Linked DNA regions of Kluyveromyces lactis. The protein of the gene in region 2 interacts with the protein of the main gene of each other region in a pairwise test. Links are inferred from orthologs where the notes say so. Each region holds a gene or a part of one and is shown on either strand. Other genes may lie near its edges. The genes, in order: MAK21, RRP15 and MAK11.

Region 1 (7,416 bases), on a different chromosome or scaffold from region 2:
ACGAGAGTATGTTGTTCTGGACCTAACTTTGCTGTATCTCTCTAGCGTAGTTTCAATTCGTTTTTACTTTCTTTTCTTTCCCTCACGAAATGCTTATAGGATATTTGGTAATCACCTTAGCTTATCCTTTGCCTCTCCGTTTTCGAACGAAAAGCAGCAGCAGATAGAACCAGAAACGGAGGGGTCGAGACGAGGATGTGGGTGTGACGAGCAAAGATCAAAAGGATCTGAAACTAGCTCTCTGCCTTAAAAATACTCGCGGGAAGACCGTTTTCGAGACTTGATGTGTCTGGAATTTTTCACCGAAATTTGCCATAAAATATGAAACACATGCAACAAAAGCGCACAAGAATCCAGAGTTATGTGAATGAATTTATACGTCACAGATTCCGGAACGACGCTCGATGAGAGGGGTCGAATCTGTCTATGTACGTATTATTGCAGCGTGTGTATGTGTGGATAGCCCAGGAAGAATGGGAGTATAACAATAGTACTACTCTTTCAATGCACAAGCGATAAAAAGATTAGTTAATCAAAGCTCCCCATCCAAACCTTTCGCGCACCTTCTCAGACACCTTTAAGATAAGAAAGTGAAAGTATTGCAGCGGAAGACTTCGACGAATTCAAACTTAGTGACCATGTAGATATTGCTAATTACTATAATTATTTTCTTACTGGCAACCGTCATGTAAATTTCCGGAGAGAATGTAGCGGATCCAGAAAAAATCTCTTTGGATGTCAACAAAAGGCTGGGATGGATAGCAACCGACCATTTGTCATTTGTCATAATCCTTCGGATCTGAAGAGCTCTCGAACGACAGATGGGTGAAAAGAAGCGGAAGCCGCAACGTTGCTTAGACGGAAAACGAGGCACGTGAGATTATGTAAGAGTTGCTGCAAAGACCTAGACTCATCCTTTTTCATCCGCTATGTTTTCTGTTCTCTTATCAAGACAGAGTAATGAATGTCCACACGCGTTACATTTGCGCCGGTGAATGCGCTGTGTGCGGCATACTAGCATCTTGCCCATTCATAGAGAATGTGAGCTGAAGTGTTGCATGCTAGAACAACTTTCACTTCTGGGAATTACGATTACATACATTAACACTTTTTTTTTTCTCATTCACTTCCGTCATCCGCTGAATGATGATTATAATAATCTGCTTTCGACACACCCTTCATAAACACACCAAGAGTGTTGAACTGGTGCGGACTTCCCGTTTGGAACTATTATTAGATATTCGTTCCGTCTATTGCCTAAAAGGGAATTACAAAAACAAACGGCGTCCGTCCACAAAAAAGCGGCTTCTCATTCGAGACACAGGAAAAACGGGCTAGATTATTTCCGGTTTAGGAAACGGATTTTTTTGATGCGTTTTTTGACATAGGGCAGGCTAGAGTGGACGAGATCTTGGTTTGATCGGGTTTAATGTACAAAAGCTGTGGTGTTGTATGGGCTATGGAATTATTTAATTCAACTGGTCTTGGTTTTTACATGCAATGCAACAGTACTTCTTCACTCTTTATTCTTCATCTGAGTTCAAGTATTGGGCGTAGTCTTCTGCCGACGCAAAAGTTGGTAGTTCGCGTAGTTTTTGTTTCTTTGATTTCTTTCTTGGAGGTTGTTGCTCTGTGTCTTCCACATCAGATTCTTGCGAGGAGTCGTCTGCAGCACTGTAGAATACATCTTCATCAGATTTTACTTCGTCTTCGAGGTTATCTTCAAACAATTTGGCCTCTTCTGGATCGAAGTCACTGATGTCTTCTGGTTCACCTTCTTCAGCTTCAAGATCAGCTTCTGATGCCTCATCTTCGTCTCCCGAAGATGCAAGGTCTTTGAGATCAATATCGACATCTTCGGATGACGATCCGAAATCATCCTGTGAGAAATCGTCCTCACTGAACTCAACATCGCTGTCCTCTTCGTCACCTTCGACGTCAGGTCTTGACTTCACTAAAGCATCCCAAATTTCATCTTCGTCCAAATCGCTTTCCTCGTCGAATTCAGCTGTACCGTTTTCATCCTCTGCACCTGACTTGGTAGATTTGATGGCATTAGTCTTTGTAGAGAAATATTGATAGAAGAACTTTTCATCTGGCTTGATATCTTGCACCTTCTTACTTAACCAGTTCTCCGTGTTAGCAGGTACTTCGTGCAATGTGGTATCGCTGGCCTTCACTAATAACGAACCAGTGTGTACACCTCCCAAAGGTTGCATGATAGATGAACCTCTAGTGGTTGGCTTTTGCTTGGCGTTACGGTACACGAATCTATCCAAGAAATGGGCTAACGTGAATAGGCCAAGATCGGGTTTGACTAACTCTCTTGTTTCTTGAGTGTCACCGTCGAAGAACCCTTGTGCGTACGACTGCACAGTAGGATGGAAATGGGACAAGAATTGATTTATCTCCCAAAGCGATGAATTTTCAGCGTTGGCATATTTTGGATCACGTTTACGGCTATCGTAACCAGGTTTTTCCTTAGTTTTATCCCTGGAATCTTCGTCATCAGATTCGTAAACAGAGTCTAGTGGTGAGTTGATTAGAACATTTCTGATCTGCGGTAAACTCTTTGAAAGTTGTATCAACAAAAAGAACATACCACTAATGGCACCGATGTTCAACCAATGGGCACAGACTTGCAATATACGTTTTACGAAAGCATCCACTCTTCCAATGTCTTTATCATCTTTCAAAGATTTGTAAAGCAAGTTTAAGTAAATACCTTGCTTCGATGACGACACCAATCTTGGGTCGAGTAGGGATTCGTATAATGTCTTGTAATATCTATCACTTGTGATGTTTGTCTTCACGACAACCTGGTGAATCAATACTAATGCTTGAATTGAAGTGTTGAAATTAGACGCATGTGTTATCTTGAACAATGTATCAAGATGTATCTCGTACACGGATCCCGGCATATCAGAGAATGGGAAAGCACGATTCAAACCAGTTAGAATAGCACCGAATAATTTGGTATTTTTTTCCTCGATAACTTCTTGAGCACTTTTTTCTTCAATGACAGACTTACCACCCTTTTTACCCTTCTTGAAGTTCTTCTTTCTCTTCTTTTCATATGACTTATCGGATTCCTTGATTTCACTCTTTGATTCCTCGTTATCAGCATCAGTTTGGATTAAGAATTTCTCGAATAAAGTGAAATAGGTCTTGATTAGCTGATTTGCTAGATTCTTCTCGGAGCGTTTCAAAATTGTTTGATTAAGTGTCAATGCGGAATAGTATGTAGTATGATAGTCAGCTTGAGGCCTTATGGCAATATCGACAACAGCGTCTACCACAATTGATTTCATATTTGGATGTTGAGTTTCAAGTTTCAAAAGTTTGAAGGAAGCCTTTGACGCTACTTTGTTATCAATGTCACCTAATTTGTTAACACCAAGTTTCAACAAGTTGAATTCCTGTTCTGGTTTGGCTGTTAGCAGGTCAAAGATATGTGTTAGCACTTGCATTCTGACATAGATGATAGGATCATGGGATAATTTCTCAAAGATTTCCAAAATCTTGAAATATAGACCCTTCAAGTAATCCTCAAAATATAAAATAGCTAAAGTTCTCTTATTCAGTAGCATGGAAAGGTTTTGGTTCTTGAAGTATTTTAACTTGCGGTCAGGTAACAGACCATTTAAGAACAAATCCTTCAGAGCATTCAAAGCTTGTAATGCGGAATTTCTTGACTTCTTCCCGCAAAAGGATATCAAAGAATCAAGAGATTTGATATTATGCAATGGAGATTCCTGTAGCAATAAAGTCAAAGCACTAATTTTATCGTTCAACGTACCATCGCTTAAGATCTGGGACATAAACTTACGTTGAGATGAGTTCTTGGTAAATTCTTCGTAGTAATTAGTGTTATCTAATTCTAAGGCCTCTTTACCACGCTGGTATAACTTATCTATCTGTTCTTTCGTTAGCGGATCCTGTTCTCTTGTTAATTCAGGGTCCAAAGGAACTTCGTACCACAACAAATCTGATGGAACAAGTAATTTATCACTTTGAACAATATGAGTTTGAGTGATCATGTCGGATTGATCTTCCTTTTTTTTTTCTGCTGGTTTAGGACTAAGTGGTTCCTCCTCTTTCTCTACCGTCTCTTCTTCTTCTTCTTCTTCAACTTCTACCTCCTCCTCTTCAATATCTTTCTCTTCTTTGCCTGCATCCTCAGTAACTGTTGGTTCTTCTACAACTTCAGGTTCAGGTAGTTTATCGAATCCCATATTCTTCAATAAAGCACTGAAATCGCTCTTAAACTCGTCATCAACTTCTTCATCGGCTTCATTGAATTCAATCTCACTGGCATCGTCGTCAACACCATCAACAAGCTGGACATCTTTTTCAGAGGCTCCAAGAGACAGAGCTTCACGGATCAATTCTTCATTGGTGACAGCAGTTTCCTCTTTAGCTGGAGTAACGTCTGTCTCTTTTTCGCCCTGCTTCTTACTCTTCTTAGGCTTAGTGTCTTTGGCCTTTGAAGCTCCCAATTTGGAGGACACTTTCTCCTTCAATTTGGATAAATCAAGACTCATTCCAGATTTGCACTTGTTATCGAGTGTTGCTTCTTTCCAAGCAATAGATCAATCAAACGACAAACAGAGAAGTGGCCTCTGTGTATATCAACAAACACAGTCTGAGCGCATAATAAGAGTTGAGATGAGATGAGATGAGATGAGATGAGATGAGCTTGATTTTGGTGTAAAGGTAGAAAATTTTTGTCGTTTCTTTTCATCACGTGATTAACGATTATCCGGGTAATGAGTTTGTCTCTCTCGTTTAGTATTTACAAAAGCATTCTATGTAGTAGTGAGACCAAGAAGCGGGGAATCTGCTTGTCACATGGTTTGCCGAGAGCGTTACGAGCCAATGGACATGCTCAGGAGTAGGTAAAGCGTGAAAGTAAGTTGAATCAAAAGTTGCACAATGTATGTACTTCCCTCAAGTATCCGCCTCTCTGCATTGGAATTTCTTTACTGGAATCAATCCCAATTAAAGAATGTTTTTTGGGACCTCGCCATTACCCGCACAAACGACGTGCATGGTGGAAGCCAATGGTGCCATTAGTTGCCAATGGTGCATGCATCAATAAGCATTGACACACATACATATACATTCTTGGGGCAGAAATAGACGTGCATTTGCATGAATTGATTGGAAACTCATGGTTTCAGATGCACCAGCTCGAGGTGAACAAGGTAAGTTACGTATTGAGAACAACTCTTGGTAAAGGAATACTTCTACTATACTTCTTCTTCTTTTCATTGTGCATACAAGAGAAGAGGTTCAAGTCGAGTTGATTACCTCGAAATACAAGGTGTAGTTTTAGAGGGACATTAGGGTCATAGATACGAACCCATTGACCTGCCTAAAAATAACTCAAACTTGTACATTTCAAAAGTTGAATAAGACAAACGAGATTTTCTTTCTAAGTAGCGATAGCGAAGAATATCTATATATTCGTAAGACAATGACAATTGGTATCCTAATGAATGGACAAAGGAAACGTATAAAAAAATAACTGCAATGGCATTTGTCTTTGTGTTTTTTCTGATTTTCATCATCATTTCACTGAAATGAAAATAAAAATAGAGTGCTAATGGTAATAATGGCGTGATAAAAGTAATAAGATGATAAAGCTGATCCTTATGATATGGGAACAATGATGGCAATTGACGGGGAAGATAAAGCTTCTTAAGCTGTCCGTTCAAGCTAATTCTGGATTTTCCATCGAATGCTGTAGCGATGCTATGATGTTTTGTGACGTTTCTTTGCCTTTTTCTATTACAGAGTCATAAATCCAATATAGGTAGATGACGACAAACACACACCGGGGAAAGGAGTGAAAGGATGGATGGTGTGTGAACGAGAGACCGAGCATACGATGCCATGAAAAATTGAAGAGTTACTTCGAATCTCATGCTGCTTTTTTCTATCATTAGAACAAAAAAAAATTAGTAGTAAAAATTATAACAATAATAGTACTATTAATCCCATTCAACATTATTATCAATTAGTGGTGGATAATAGTAGTATAAGCTTCAGGTTGGGACCATTAACGAACAATAAAAAAAAAGTTTACGTTCCGATAGATAAACTTAAGATTTTATTCATCCAGGTTTTGGTGGGGTGGTTGTTGATAGTAACTTTGATATTTCATGAATTGATAATTCTGTTGTGAAGGATGGTTATGCATTGGTGCGGGAGGAATTGCGTACATTGAATGCTGTTGAGATGGACCTTGCCCATGACTCTGAATTAATCCCTGGCCTTGTGATGGGTGTGCTCCTTGAACCTGCCCCGGTTGGCGGTAGAAAGGACCCGACGAAATTGAAGGCTTAGTGGATGAAGGAGGAGTCACCGAATGACTTTGTGAGCCTTGTAAATTCCCCTGGTACTGGGGTTGGATATTACTTTGTTGTGGTTGCTGCTGCTGTTGCTGCCGTTGCTGTTGCTGCCGTTGCTGTTGCTGTTTCTGTTGCGACTGTTGTTGCGGCTGCTGATGCTGTTTAGGGACCATTATGGAATTGTGGTTCATGTTTGGAGATCCAGGACTGTTGTGATGGCCCGGCATGAACTGAGCCAACTGCATCCGCAACTGTTCATTTTCCTGTTGCAGCAGACTGTTCTTGCGTTCCAAATGTTTGATGTACTCATGAGATTTTGACAAAATTTGAACCTTGTTGACTTTCGAAGGTGGAGCCAACCCTTCTAGCGATTCCACAGGAATAGAGTTATCGTCACACCATCGAAGTGTCGGTACCGAGTTTCTCAAAAACTGGAAATGAGTGTTAATGTTGTTCCGATACTTTTTCTCACTATCGTTATGACCCGAGGAGGTGTTCCCCGAATGGTTCACAGCAGCACCACCACCACCAGAAACCGTGGGAGCCAATGGAGTCATTAACGCACCGTGGTTCGTAAATCCTGGGATCGCAGGGAGCACGGGAAGCCCAGTCACTGCAGCGTTAAACACAGCGTTCGGGTTGTTTCCAACGCCAGTATTGGCGTTGGGCCCTGAGGCTTTTGTCACCTTATATGTATTCTGCGGCAGATTGGAAAAGGGAACACCAGCAGCGGTGTTGTTGTTCTGGTTGCTGTAGGTATTTGGATGCTGCTGCTGCTGCTGCTGCTGCTGCTGAACAGAAGCCAATTGATCGCTGTTCATCAATGCATTAGAAGAGGACACCAAAGGACTCAATTGGCTTCCTGGTCCTGGAACAGATCCTGATACATGTCCGGGTACTTGATCGTCCGTCCTTTTATCGTTTGCGTATGCATAATCAGACAAAGGCATGGCGCAAAAAAAAAACAAAAAGAAACAAAAATAAGAAAATGCGACTCGTGCAGATTAGTGCAGGACACGCGTAGAAAAAAAAACGTAAAATGAATAAAACAGATCGATGC
Region 2 (5,607 bases):
ACCTTTCTATCTTCTACACATTTATCCGCACAACTGGTAGCGTCATTCATCAAACGTTTGGCACGTTTATCCGTATCGGCACCACCAGGTGCTATTGTTTCTATAATACCATTCGTGTACAATCTAATCAGAAAGCATCCTACATGTATGATTCTATTACACGATCCAGAATACATCGACTGCGATTCAAAGAAAAGGCAAGAATATCTAGATCCATTCAACAATGAAGAAACCAATCCAGAACTTACAAATGCTCTTTCCTCCTCAGTATGGGAGCTAGAAACGCTAATGAATCACTACCATCCAAACGTAGCCACTTTAGCGAAGATTTTCCAACAACCTTTCCAAAAGTTAAGCTACAACATCGAAGATTTCTTAGATTGGTCTTACGATTCACTTTTGCAAGCAGAAACCAATAGAAAGCTGAAGATCCAACCTGCTCTTGAATTCGAAAGGTTTGAAACAATTTTCGAATCAGGTTCTGATTCAGCATTCCTACCCTTCATAAAATGGTAAATACATAATTTCAAGTAGAAAACTTAAGTAGTTCAATTCCAAATTGAGTACTTTCTTTCACTTTCGCAAATCTCTTCACATTACATCTCATCACATCGCCGTAATATTGAAACATCGAGATGAAAAAAATCAACAAGTCAACATCAAGAAGAGAAAGACTCACATCAGAAAAAACTTTAAAATGGGCTCCGTTTATCGGTCTTGAGGACTTAAAGGCACATACCATACCAGTTGGCTGCTTTTTTACCACTACTATTGAATAAATGACTGAGGAAGTGAAAGCCTGTAATCCAGAGAAAGCCTTAGAGCTGAAGAATGAAGGTAACAAGTTCGTGAAGGAGAAACTGTACGCAAAGGCAGCTGAGTATTATACAAAAGCCATCGAGCATGATCCCGAGAATACGATCCTATATTCAAACCGTGCGTTCACCAACCTAAAGTTGGATAACTTCCAAAGTTCTTTAGACGATGCTAAACGTGCAATTGAATTGGATAATAACAATTTGAAAGCCTATCACCGCAGAGCTATGTCTTACATTGGGCTACTAGAGTTTAGAAAGGCAAGGAAGGACTTGATCATTGTGTTGAAATTCAAGCCTAACGAGCTCACTGCAAAAAATGCATTAGCAATCTGTGATAAAGTCATACAGAAGGAGAATTTTGAAAAAGCTATTAGCGGTGGAGACTCTTCTAAAGTTGATTTATGTCAAACTTTAAATATCAGCTCATTCGATGCAAATGCCGATCTCCTCAAATATGATGGTAAAACCTTGGAATTCGAACAAGTGAAGTCAGATTCTGGGGCCAATGCTGGTGTCAGAGTTAACAATATGAACCAGGAATTCATTTCTTATATGATTAATGAGATTTTCCTAGAAGGTAAAAAGCTTCCAAAGGCTTACGTTGCAGCGATCATTTCTCATGCAGACTATTTGTTCAAGCAAGAAAACAGTGTTGTTGAACTTGATAACAGAGAAAAGCCGGATACAAGAATTTCTGTATGTGGTGACACGCATGGTCAATTTTATGATGTTCTGAACATCTTCAAAAGTTATGGGAAAGTAGGCGGCTCCAATGTATATTTATTCAATGGTGATTTCGTAGACCGTGGATCATGGTCTTGTGAAGTGGCCATTTTATTCTATTCTTTGAAAATCGTGTATCCACAGAACATTTACTTGAACAGAGGTAATCATGAAACCAACAGCATGAATAAAGTGTACGGGTTTGAAGACGAATGCAAATACAAGTACTCCCAGCGCATTTTCGATCTTTTCTCACAAAGCTTCGAATCTCTACCATTAGCCACTGTCATCAATAGTTCATACCTGGTCGTGCATGGTGGTTTGCCAAGTGATACTTCTGCCACTGTAGAAGATATGAAGAAAATTGATAGATTCCACCAACCACCAAGAGAGGGAACATTTATGGAGTTATTATGGGCGGATCCACAGGCTCCGGATGGATTTGGACCATCTCCTCGTGGCTTAAGTAATGCGTTTGGGCCTGACATTACTAGAAAGTTCTTGAAACAGAATAATTTAAAGCGAATCTTCAGGTCTCATGAAGTTAGACAAGGCGGTTACGAATTTGAGCATGAGAATCAATTGGTCACTGTTTTCAGTGCTCCTAACTACTGTGACGCCGGTGGCAACCTCGGTGCAATCATTCATGTTGTTCCAAACACAAAATCTGAAAAGAAATCATCTATCGACAGCGACTTGGTAATAGAAACTTTCTCTGCTTCACCACATCCAGATATTAAACCAATGGCATATTCAAATGGAGGGTTAGGATTTTGATCCCTCATCTGACCTGATCTGATCTTTTTTCGATAAAGTTGTAATTAATAATATTATTAGTCTATTATACAGTCTTTGGGATTACCTATATATGTACATAGTTTTGCGCTTTAATAAATGCAGATGATTCCCTCTATCATATAGAACTTCCTCTTTTCAACTGTCACCAGCAGTTTTCACCAAATCAAAGAACTTCTCCTTGGAAACCTCCGTTATCAACTCTTTTCTCTCTGAACGGTTCTTCACACCACCCAATGAGTCATTGATTTCCTTTTCAGTCTTAACCTGAGTAGAGAGAATTGCATTGAATAACTTCACAACACCTTTCTGGGCAATCTTTCTTAGTTTACGTTCCTTCTCAAGAATTTCTCTAATTTCATCCGAGTTTGCGTCTGCAGCCACAACAGGTATAATATCTTTCTTTCTAGTCTTATTGAGTAGTTGTTTCTTCTCTGTGAGTATAGCTCTCTTAGCCTTTTGCTCTAACTTATCTGCTTCATTTTGCTTTAAAACTTTCTTATTCCTAGCCATAATGGGATCTTTACGGTCGTATGCTTTCAAATGCGATGATAAAATATTGGTTAACGCGCTGGAAAATGTGGATGATCCATCATCGTGTTTGGATTTGGAAGACTTCTTCTTTCTTGGGAAGTCATCGTCATCTGGTTGGTTCACCACATCTTCATCGTCACTGTCTTCATCACTGGCGTCATCACTCGACACTTCATTTAGATCCATTTCATCGTTATCTATTTCGGAACCTGTACTGCCTTCAGAATCCACATCAGAATCTACTTCATCAGCCAATTGTGATACTTCATTCTCTTTGACTTTCGTTTGAGCCCTGATCTTTGCAGACTTGTCATTCAACTTGCTCTTTTTGGTGACAGGTATTGTCACTTTACCCTTGCTACTCATAGTATTTTCAGGCGGCTATACAATACAAAGCTGTCCACTGCACAATCTACCGGCAAGTTAACCTTCTATTGAGATAGTGTGAATTCAATGATGGATCCTAAAGGCCCAGATACAGTCTTGAAAGCGATGAGATGAGTTGTGCTTCACTGAAATTTTTTTTGGCATGTTCACTAACAAAAAGAAATACATTCTATCAACACACCCATACACCACTGCAAATTTGACGTTGGTGGAGCCGCCGTCATAAGAAACTTGAAGCTGAACTCTCTTACTAGCCTGTGGTTCCCCGACTGTTGGGTTTATTGGAGTGTGGTGTATCTGTAATGGTTCCTCTACTTGTTCAAGCTACCCAAAGAAGGTTTGTTGTGTACTGAAGCCGGTTCAGTTTCGAAATATGTCACATATACTAGTAAAGATGTAAACAAATAATAAGATCAACCGAAAACAAAACAATCTTGAAACACCAAAGGAGACATAGCAATTGAAGAACGTATATAAACCAGTACCGCTTTGGAAAAGACGTGTAATAAGGTAGTGGGTTTGACTAAATTAAACTGGTTGGCTGATAATCAAACGGAATATGAATGGACCGCCGTCAACGCCAGAAAGATGTTCATCGAAGGACGGTTCTAATATACCTTCTCCAACCCAGCAGGGTTCAAGTTCACCAAAATACAAACCAAGGCAGTCGATAAGATTGAATCCAGAAGATGTACAGAGTATAAACAGAAGAAGGTCTCTCACGCCCAGTACTGAAAATAGAAGCTCAACTCATATGACATTCTTTTACAAAGAAAACCTGAAAGAACTGAATAGATTGCAAGAAGAGTTGTCCAGAAAAAAGATCAAGTTGAATACCGCACAGGATGAGATGAACTCGTTGAAAAGCAAAGTGGAAACTGTAGAGTTCAAAATGAACAATTTGAAAGAGGAGAAACAAGTGAAAGTACGACAAATCGGGTTAAAGCAGAATGAATTGAATAGCATGGATCAAGATCATGAATTGAAGTTAGAGTTTATGAGAAACGGATTTGATCTAGAAATAAAGAAGATAGAGGGAAAATACCACTGTGAAATGAATGAAACAGAGTCGAAATTCAAATTTGAAGTGCAGCAGATTGAATTTGAAAAGATTCAAAAGTTTAAACAAGAAAAGGAACATTTATTGAAGGACATACATAACTTAAACGATGAGGTAAATAATAATGACAATGTCATTAACCAATTAAAGGAAGAACTTGATAAGAAATACTCAAATCTTAAAGAGAAGTGGATGGTAGAGTTTCAGACGGAATGGAAGAATATCACAGAAGCTAATCAGTCCATGATTAAGGATATCAACAAGTTAAGTCAAGATATAGAAAATGACATGACTAATGAATTGGATCAATCTAAAGACAAACGTAACATTTTAGAAAAGGAGCTAGCAAAATTGGAAGAGAAGCTTAATGAGAAGAATGTATTCAAGGAATCTATTACTGTGCAAATAGACACTGTCGAAGAAGAAATAGAGCAAACTATCAGTCAACGGAAAGAACTCAATGAGTATATCACTAATTCCAAAAACGAACTTTTACAAATCAATGAAATACTGATAAAAGAGGAGACAATGCGTCGTAAGCTTCATAATGAACTACAGGAGCTGCGAGGAAATATCAGAGTATACTGTAGAATAAGACCGCCTTTAGAAAACGAAGTGCAGGATATATCGCACATTCATGTATCTAACTTTGATAATAGAAATGGATCGCAAGCAATAGAGATAAGCAATGAAGATAGGAACAGCAGATTCTTATTTGACAAAGTATTCAGCTCTAATGCATCAAATCGAGACGTTTTCGAAGAAGTTGGCCAGTTGATTCAGAGTTCACTGGATGGCTATAATGTTTGCATATTCGCTTATGGTCAAACTGGTTCTGGAAAAACTTATACTATGATGAACGATCCTGATGGTGTAATACCAATGACATTAGATCATATCTTTGACTGGACGCACCTCTTGAAGGAAAGAGGATGGGATTATTCATTTGAGGCTCAATTTATCGAAATTTACAACGAACAAATCGTTGATCTTTTGAGATCTTTAAATCCCGAACCAGGTCCGACAAAATACGAAATACGACACGATGGGGACTCTCAAAGAACCTCAATTACCAATGTCACGTCCATAAAACTAGAAACACGTGCGAGAGTGAATACTGTCTTGAGAACAGCTAATAAAACGAAGTCGATTGCCGCCACAAATTCAAATGAACGCTCATCAAGATCACATAGTGTGTTTACCATTAGAATCCATGGAACTAATAGTATTACTGGAGAAGCTAGTGATGGTGTCCTAAATTTAGTAGATTTGGCGGGATCTGAAAGAATT
Region 3 (6,145 bases), on a different chromosome or scaffold from region 2:
AAGGGTTCAAGATTTTCGTTGAAGAGAGTTCCCAATCTGCCTTTGATATCGAAGAATATAAGAAGGTCGGTGCCACTATTGTTCCAGAAGGATCTTGGAAGACCGCTCCACGCGATCGTATTATCATTGGCTTGAAAGAAATGCCAGAGACTGATACTTTCCCGTTAGTTCACGAACACATCCAGTTTGCTCATTGTTACAAGAACCAAGCTGGTTGGGAAGATGTTTTGAGCCGTTTCAAGAGAGGTAATGGTGTTTTGTACGACCTTGAATTCTTGGAAAATGACCAAGGTAGAAGAGTAGCTGCATTTGGGTTCTATGCTGGTTTTGCCGGCGCAGCAGTCGGTATCAGAGACTGGGCTTTCAAGCAAACCCACTCAGATTCTGAGAATTTGGGAGCTATTGAACCATACGAAAACGAAGAAGCTATGATCAAGGATGTTCGCAGAGACTACCAATTAGCTTTGAAGAGAGGTGCCAGAAAGCCTAAGGTTTTGATTATTGGTGCCTTGGGTAGATGTGGTTCTGGTGCTGCTGATTTACTACGTAAGTGTGGATTGCCAGAAGAAAATATCATCAAATGGGATATGAAGGAGACTGCTCGTGGTGGTCCCTTCCAAGAAATCGCCGATGCCGATGTTTTCATCAACTGTATATACTTATCAAAGCCTATTCCTCCTTTCATCAACAATGAACTATTGAATAAGCCAACCAGAAGATTGAGAACTGTTGTTGACGTTTCTGCTGATACCACTAATCCTCATAACCCTGTTCCAATTTACACCATCAACACTACGTTTGATGCACCAACAGTACAAGTTCCAACCACTGTTGGTCCAAAATTGTCCGTGTGTTCTATTGATCATTTGCCTTCATTGTTACCAAAGGAAGCCTCAGAATCTTTCTCTCGTGATCTATTACCATCCTTGGAGCAGTTACCTCAAAGAGCTACTGCTTCTGTGTGGGTCAAGGCTAGAAACCTATATGAAAAGTTCGCTGCTAAGGTTGGTAGAACATCTAAGCTATAGAAGCTGAACCTTTTTTTTTCTATTTCGTATCCTCATCTTCTGGGAAGGTGGTTGTTAGTAATCCTAAAGGGTCCTTTTATGATGTAGACCGCGATTGAGACTTTGTATATTATTCGCCTTAGTTATATATATATATATATATATATATATACAAAACAATACTGAAGCATTCTATTCTAATTGAACTTCGACCTTCCTTTTCTTGTTTCCGCCCTTCTTTTTACTCTTCTTGGCCTTTTTCCCAAGCATGATCTTTTTGAGTTCCTCAGGATCAGCTTCTACGTCACTTGGTTCTCCCACCTCAACTTCTTCTGGTGCTCTCTTCTTAACGGTATCATATTTTTCAATACTTTCATCGCATACAGCTACACAATTTAATCTTTCACCACAATCGTATACCGCAACTTGATCCCTAGTCTTCATGTCCCAAACGACAATTCTTCCATCAGATCCGATTGTAACTAAATAATGACCAAACTTGTTATGGTAAAATTGAAAGTCCTTTACACGGTTACTGTGACCCAATAGTGAAAATTCAGCTTCCAACTTAGGTGATTCTTCCTCTTCATCTGGCACTTCTTCGTAAAGTTTTGATGCTTTCCAGAATTGAACGGCACCACTGTTCAATCCAACAACAATATACTCTTCGCCATCAATGATTTCACGCTCTAGATGCATCAATGTATTCCTGCTAAAATCGATTTCTCTATGCACCTTTGCTGTTTCGGTCTTGAAAATTAGCAATTTGTTCAACAAACCAACAGCAATATACGACCCATTCTCCCCGCACCATCTAACGAACTGTCCGTTTTGATTATATTTCCTTAGTTTCAATACACCTGCCTTCTTAACAGTCATGAGGTTCCATAATCTGATCGAATGATCTTCACTTACACTGACTGCAACTCTGTTCGAAGGATGAATATCGAAATCGTTGATCCTGGCAGTATGGCCCTTCAAGGTTCCGAAATTTTCCCAGTCTTTCACTCTCCATACTATTATTTTATGATCCTCAGATGCAGATAGTAGCCATTTATTGAGTTGGATATCCTGGCCATCGGCATCTTTACCTCTTGAGAATCTCAAATTCGTAATGGAACCTTGATGTCCTAACAACGTCCCCAATTCTTTACGTTTTTGTAAATCGTAGATTCTTATATTTTCATCGTTCGATCCTGATACTAGGTATCTCTTTGATATGTCTAGACATTTCACACTCAATGAGTGCGCTTGAAAATGAAATATTGGCGTGAATAGCGGTTGGGTTAACGATAAGTTCAAAGATAAACATAATAGATTGTGTTCGTAAGAACCCACAATGATTCTAAACTGATTATCCGGCATTTGAATAGAAGACCTTTTCAACCTCTCTTTCTACAGTGAAAACAAAAGGAGCACTTATCGGTGTTGAAGAAATTATATATGTGAAAGCTCATTGAACTCATCTCATCTCATCTCATCTCATCTCATCTCATCGCTTCTTTGACTATGTTCAATCTTAAATTTTCCAACTTTCCAGATCCAGATGGGAAGAAAAAAGAAACTGTTCAATTTCCGGGTAAACTTTTTAAAAGGTTTTCTTTCCTTCAAATGTGCTGGGTTCAATCTATTAAAAATTCCCAATGTTCAAAGGGTTTGTTTGTATTTTTTTTCGACAACCAGCATTTTTTGTTAAGCTTAGTTTCTTTAGCATGAGATTTCGGACAGAAAGTGCGGAAAATAAAGTGACGCAGCATTTTTTAAGTGGTGTAGGCTCTCAATGTTCGAGTTGTTTGCTTAAACGGTCCGGAAACAATGTTGTGTGTATTGATGGATAATCCGTTTTTATTTCCTAGGATGAATGTTCAAGCATTGTGCTAATTATTTTTGGTGACAAACTTGATCTGATCTTTAAAGACTTTGAATCGGGAAAATACATGTTCCTCCATTAATCAATAAGAGATCTAGATACGGATTTGAAATCTTTAATTAGAACTTAGAACTCTACTATTCCATATTTAGACGTTTCATTAGCCATTTCCGAGAGTGGCCATTTAGAGCATAGCACTTTCTGATTCTCATCAGTCCTAATCCAAAGAAATATTCTCTATTCACAACTTGAAAAGGGGAAGTTACTTGAGCCTGTTTCAAGAAAGGAATAAGAGCTGAATTTTCAAGCCATGTCAAGTTACTCTAGTGAAAATAATGATACTCGGCGTGTTATCGATTTGAGTTCTAATAACATCGGGAGTCGATTACATGAGTCTCTTGTCGATTCAAACAGAGCTATATATACAAGTGGGATGCAAGAACGTTCTTTGAATGAACAAAATATTCACTTGGTCAATACGTTGGAAGAAAGAAGTCCCAATGATAAATTACTGCTGAGTCCATACGAAGAAGAACTTTACAGACGTAGTCTTAGACTGAGTCCCGTTACTTCAATCGCAGCACCCATACCCACAGTTACATTGCTTGGGGAGGATGCACCACCAGAAGCCGGAAAGACTGCTTTACCGTATATGACCGATTTTGACAAGTTCCAGGTGGAACAGGAAAAGAACAATAAGAATAGGCGACAAGGTTTGGAACAAAATAACGACTCGCTGTTGAGTTTATTCACCAAATGGCCTATCTACTCTTCTAAGAAAATAAAACAAAAAATGAATAGGCACAATTCGCTTAAAAGAACGCATTCTTCAGTTAGGCGCAAGGATTTCTCTGTTCAGTCTGAGTATGCGAAATATAACAAAGATAAGAAGTTCATATTCCATAAGGGCTTTTCTCAAAGACACAATTCTGTTAATTCACTGCGAAGAAATTACACCAAAAAGACTCACTTCAGAAAAAGGTCTAGGTTTCAAAATGAACAGGAATTGATGTCGTACATGAGATACATCAACGCCTCTCAAATGGATATAACTGAGGTGATAACAGCCGATAACATTAGAATGTATCTTTATTCCAAAAATTCATTGAGAAGCCTATTACGAGTTAATCCAACACTCCATCCAATTAAGGTTCCTTTAATGCAGTTTAATGAATTGTTGAATAAAAAGAAAAACTCTCCGCAAGGGTCAAATGTTGTGAAAAGGCCATCTATCTCTAGAAACCTTTCAAGAAAAGCCAAACATGTTCGCAGGTCAAACACGTTACCAGCTAATAAAACATCATTTGCAGAGAGATTAAATCCTGAGTTATACCGTACATGGAATTCTTACCTCAAAGCTATCATAGCTAAAAGAGTCGAGCTTAGAATCTCTTGTCTATTGGGTGAAGATATGTCGTCATTTGCCTCGTCGGTGAGAAATTCTGCGATCGTGTACAGAGAGTCAATTACACCGCCGTTGGAACTTGGGTCTCCTGGCAACCCAATTGTAATTTCTGATAATGAGGATGCTCCGCCCGTCAGAGGATCGCAAGACAATAGCAGTAATACTGATGGCTATGGAACAATTGAGAAATTATATCATGAAAATGATACCGATGATTTGTCGACCAGACCGAGCACTAGCATTTTTTCCGTGCGACAATCACTGACAAGCGCAGACCAAAACAGAAGATCATTTTTCTTCCCTCCTGACAATCCAGGAATGCATAAAATCGATGAAGAGCGTTCTATACGCAGTGTAACGTCAAGAAACACTTTGTCATAACGAAATTAATTAATCGGGAGCATTTACGGATTACAGATGAAACATTTATGTTTCTGGAATTCATGCTGTTCTGAGAGAATTGCATTACAAATACATTCATATGTATACACTACTTATGATCTGGATATTAGAAGCCTAAAATACCTTTATAGATATTCATTTTGGAGCTTTCACTCGCTTTAACAGCGGTCCAGATTTGAGCTGTACCAAGCGTTTGACCATACGTAGCGTTTTTCTTTGTCACAAACTCATCGACCTTTTCGGGGTTATCCATCCACATTTGGAAGATCACATAACTGATGTGCACCAGGGTCTTTTTCATTCTTTCAGAGGATTCCGCGCCCTCTCTCAGAGACTTACGACCCCATAGGTCATAATTTAACTCGAACCACTCCCAGCATACATCACGGACTAATTTATTCTTCTTGCCATCCAATGGCTCGCGGAAGTTATAGTTCAATCCGAATAATGCATTTTCAACACTGGTTGAAGTGATATTAGTTAAAATAAAGTTCAAAGTCTTTTTGATGAGCTCCTCATTAGTGTTGAATGCAAGATTCTCAAGAGCCATATTTTGAATGTCAATAGAAGATCCACCGTCAACATGAGATTCAACACCCTTTGCAGACTTAACTAGCTCATATAATTTTTTCCACTGTTTGACATTCTTTTGATGACAGGAGACAGTGGCGAACACACTTCCGCACAATTCCAAAGGAATGGACTTATTTGGACCAGACAAGATCTTTTTCATTAATTGATTGGCCACAGTCAAGGTTGAGTCCAAATGTTTGATACCAAACATCACCTTTGACATAACTTTTAGCTGATATGAGGAAACGTGAAAGTCATTCCAAGAAAATTTATCCCATAGAGGGACATAAATATCAGTAATGAAAGCTTTCTCAGATTTACCGGTGTATGTTCTTAAAGCATTTTCTATGGTTTGCAAGATATCTAAACCGATAGATAATCCACGGTATAGTTCTTCCGTTAAATCAACATGTGATGCCAGGCACCTCAATATCATTAAGACACCATCGATGTGTATCTTTTTTTGGTATTCACTGCCTATTAGAGATCTCAGGTCAATGAATATTTTGAATAAATCCAAATCGGAAATTTTAGAGTTCTTGAGGGCTTCATTGATCAACTCGTAGCATTTATCCGTCTCATAAGAAACACGGTATAGGCCCCTGGCTCCACTGTTCACAATAAGTTCGGGTTCGGATAATTTCAGAGTTCTATCAGTAAATAATCCATTCTTAGTATCATCCTCTCCTGAAGATTGAACTGCAAAAAGTGGAATATGGTAAGGAATGTCCTCAACATCTGTCTTTTCCAAAAGGAAACGGTGCTGTTCCAAGGTAGTCCTTTCAGTATCAGTATTTACAGAAATGATTGGGATACCAGGAGTCCTAGTCCATGAGCTGTAGAAGTTTGCAATGTTTTCGGATTTTAGGATCTCGCCCATTCTTCTAA

Evidence for each region.
Region 1: the proteins of RRP15 (region 2) and MAK21 interact in binary tests that used the Saccharomyces cerevisiae proteins (3 or more experiments, as listed by UniProt). The link is inferred for Kluyveromyces lactis from reciprocal best matches to the Saccharomyces cerevisiae genes RRP15 and MAK21.
Region 3: the proteins of RRP15 (region 2) and MAK11 interact in binary tests that used the Saccharomyces cerevisiae proteins (3 or more experiments, as listed by UniProt). The link is inferred for Kluyveromyces lactis from reciprocal best matches to the Saccharomyces cerevisiae genes RRP15 and MAK11.

The regions. Positions count from the first base shown.
Region 1 is NC_006041.1:1,106,325-1,113,740, forward strand, and holds MAK21 (RNA-binding ribosome biosynthesis protein MAK21), read right to left. Parts: upstream 4,545-7,416; coding exon 1,524-4,544; downstream 1-1,523. Other genes in the region: KLLA0_E12541g (uncharacterized protein), read right to left, coding at 6,116-7,306.
Region 2 is NC_006038.1:955,169-960,775, forward strand, and holds RRP15 (rRNA-processing protein RRP15), read right to left. Parts: upstream 3,237-5,607; coding exon 2,475-3,236; downstream 1-2,474. Other genes in the region: ribosome biosynthesis protein NOC4, read left to right, coding at 1-516; PPT1 (protein serine/threonine phosphatase), read left to right, coding at 780-2,318; KAR3 (Kar3p), read left to right, coding at 3,817-5,607. UniProt on the Saccharomyces cerevisiae protein: Constituent of pre-60S ribosomal particles. Required for large subunit rRNA maturation, in particular processing of the 27S pre-rRNA at the A3 and B1 sites to yield 5.8S and 25S rRNA.
Region 3 is NC_006041.1:713,703-719,847, reverse strand, and holds MAK11 (Mak11p), read right to left. Parts: upstream 2,373-6,145; coding exon 1,200-2,372; downstream 1-1,199. Other genes in the region: LYS1 (saccharopine dehydrogenase (NAD+, L-lysine-forming)), read left to right, coding at 1-1,028; NIS1 (Nis1p), read left to right, coding at 3,188-4,663; TMA108 (Tma108p), read right to left, coding at 4,791-6,145.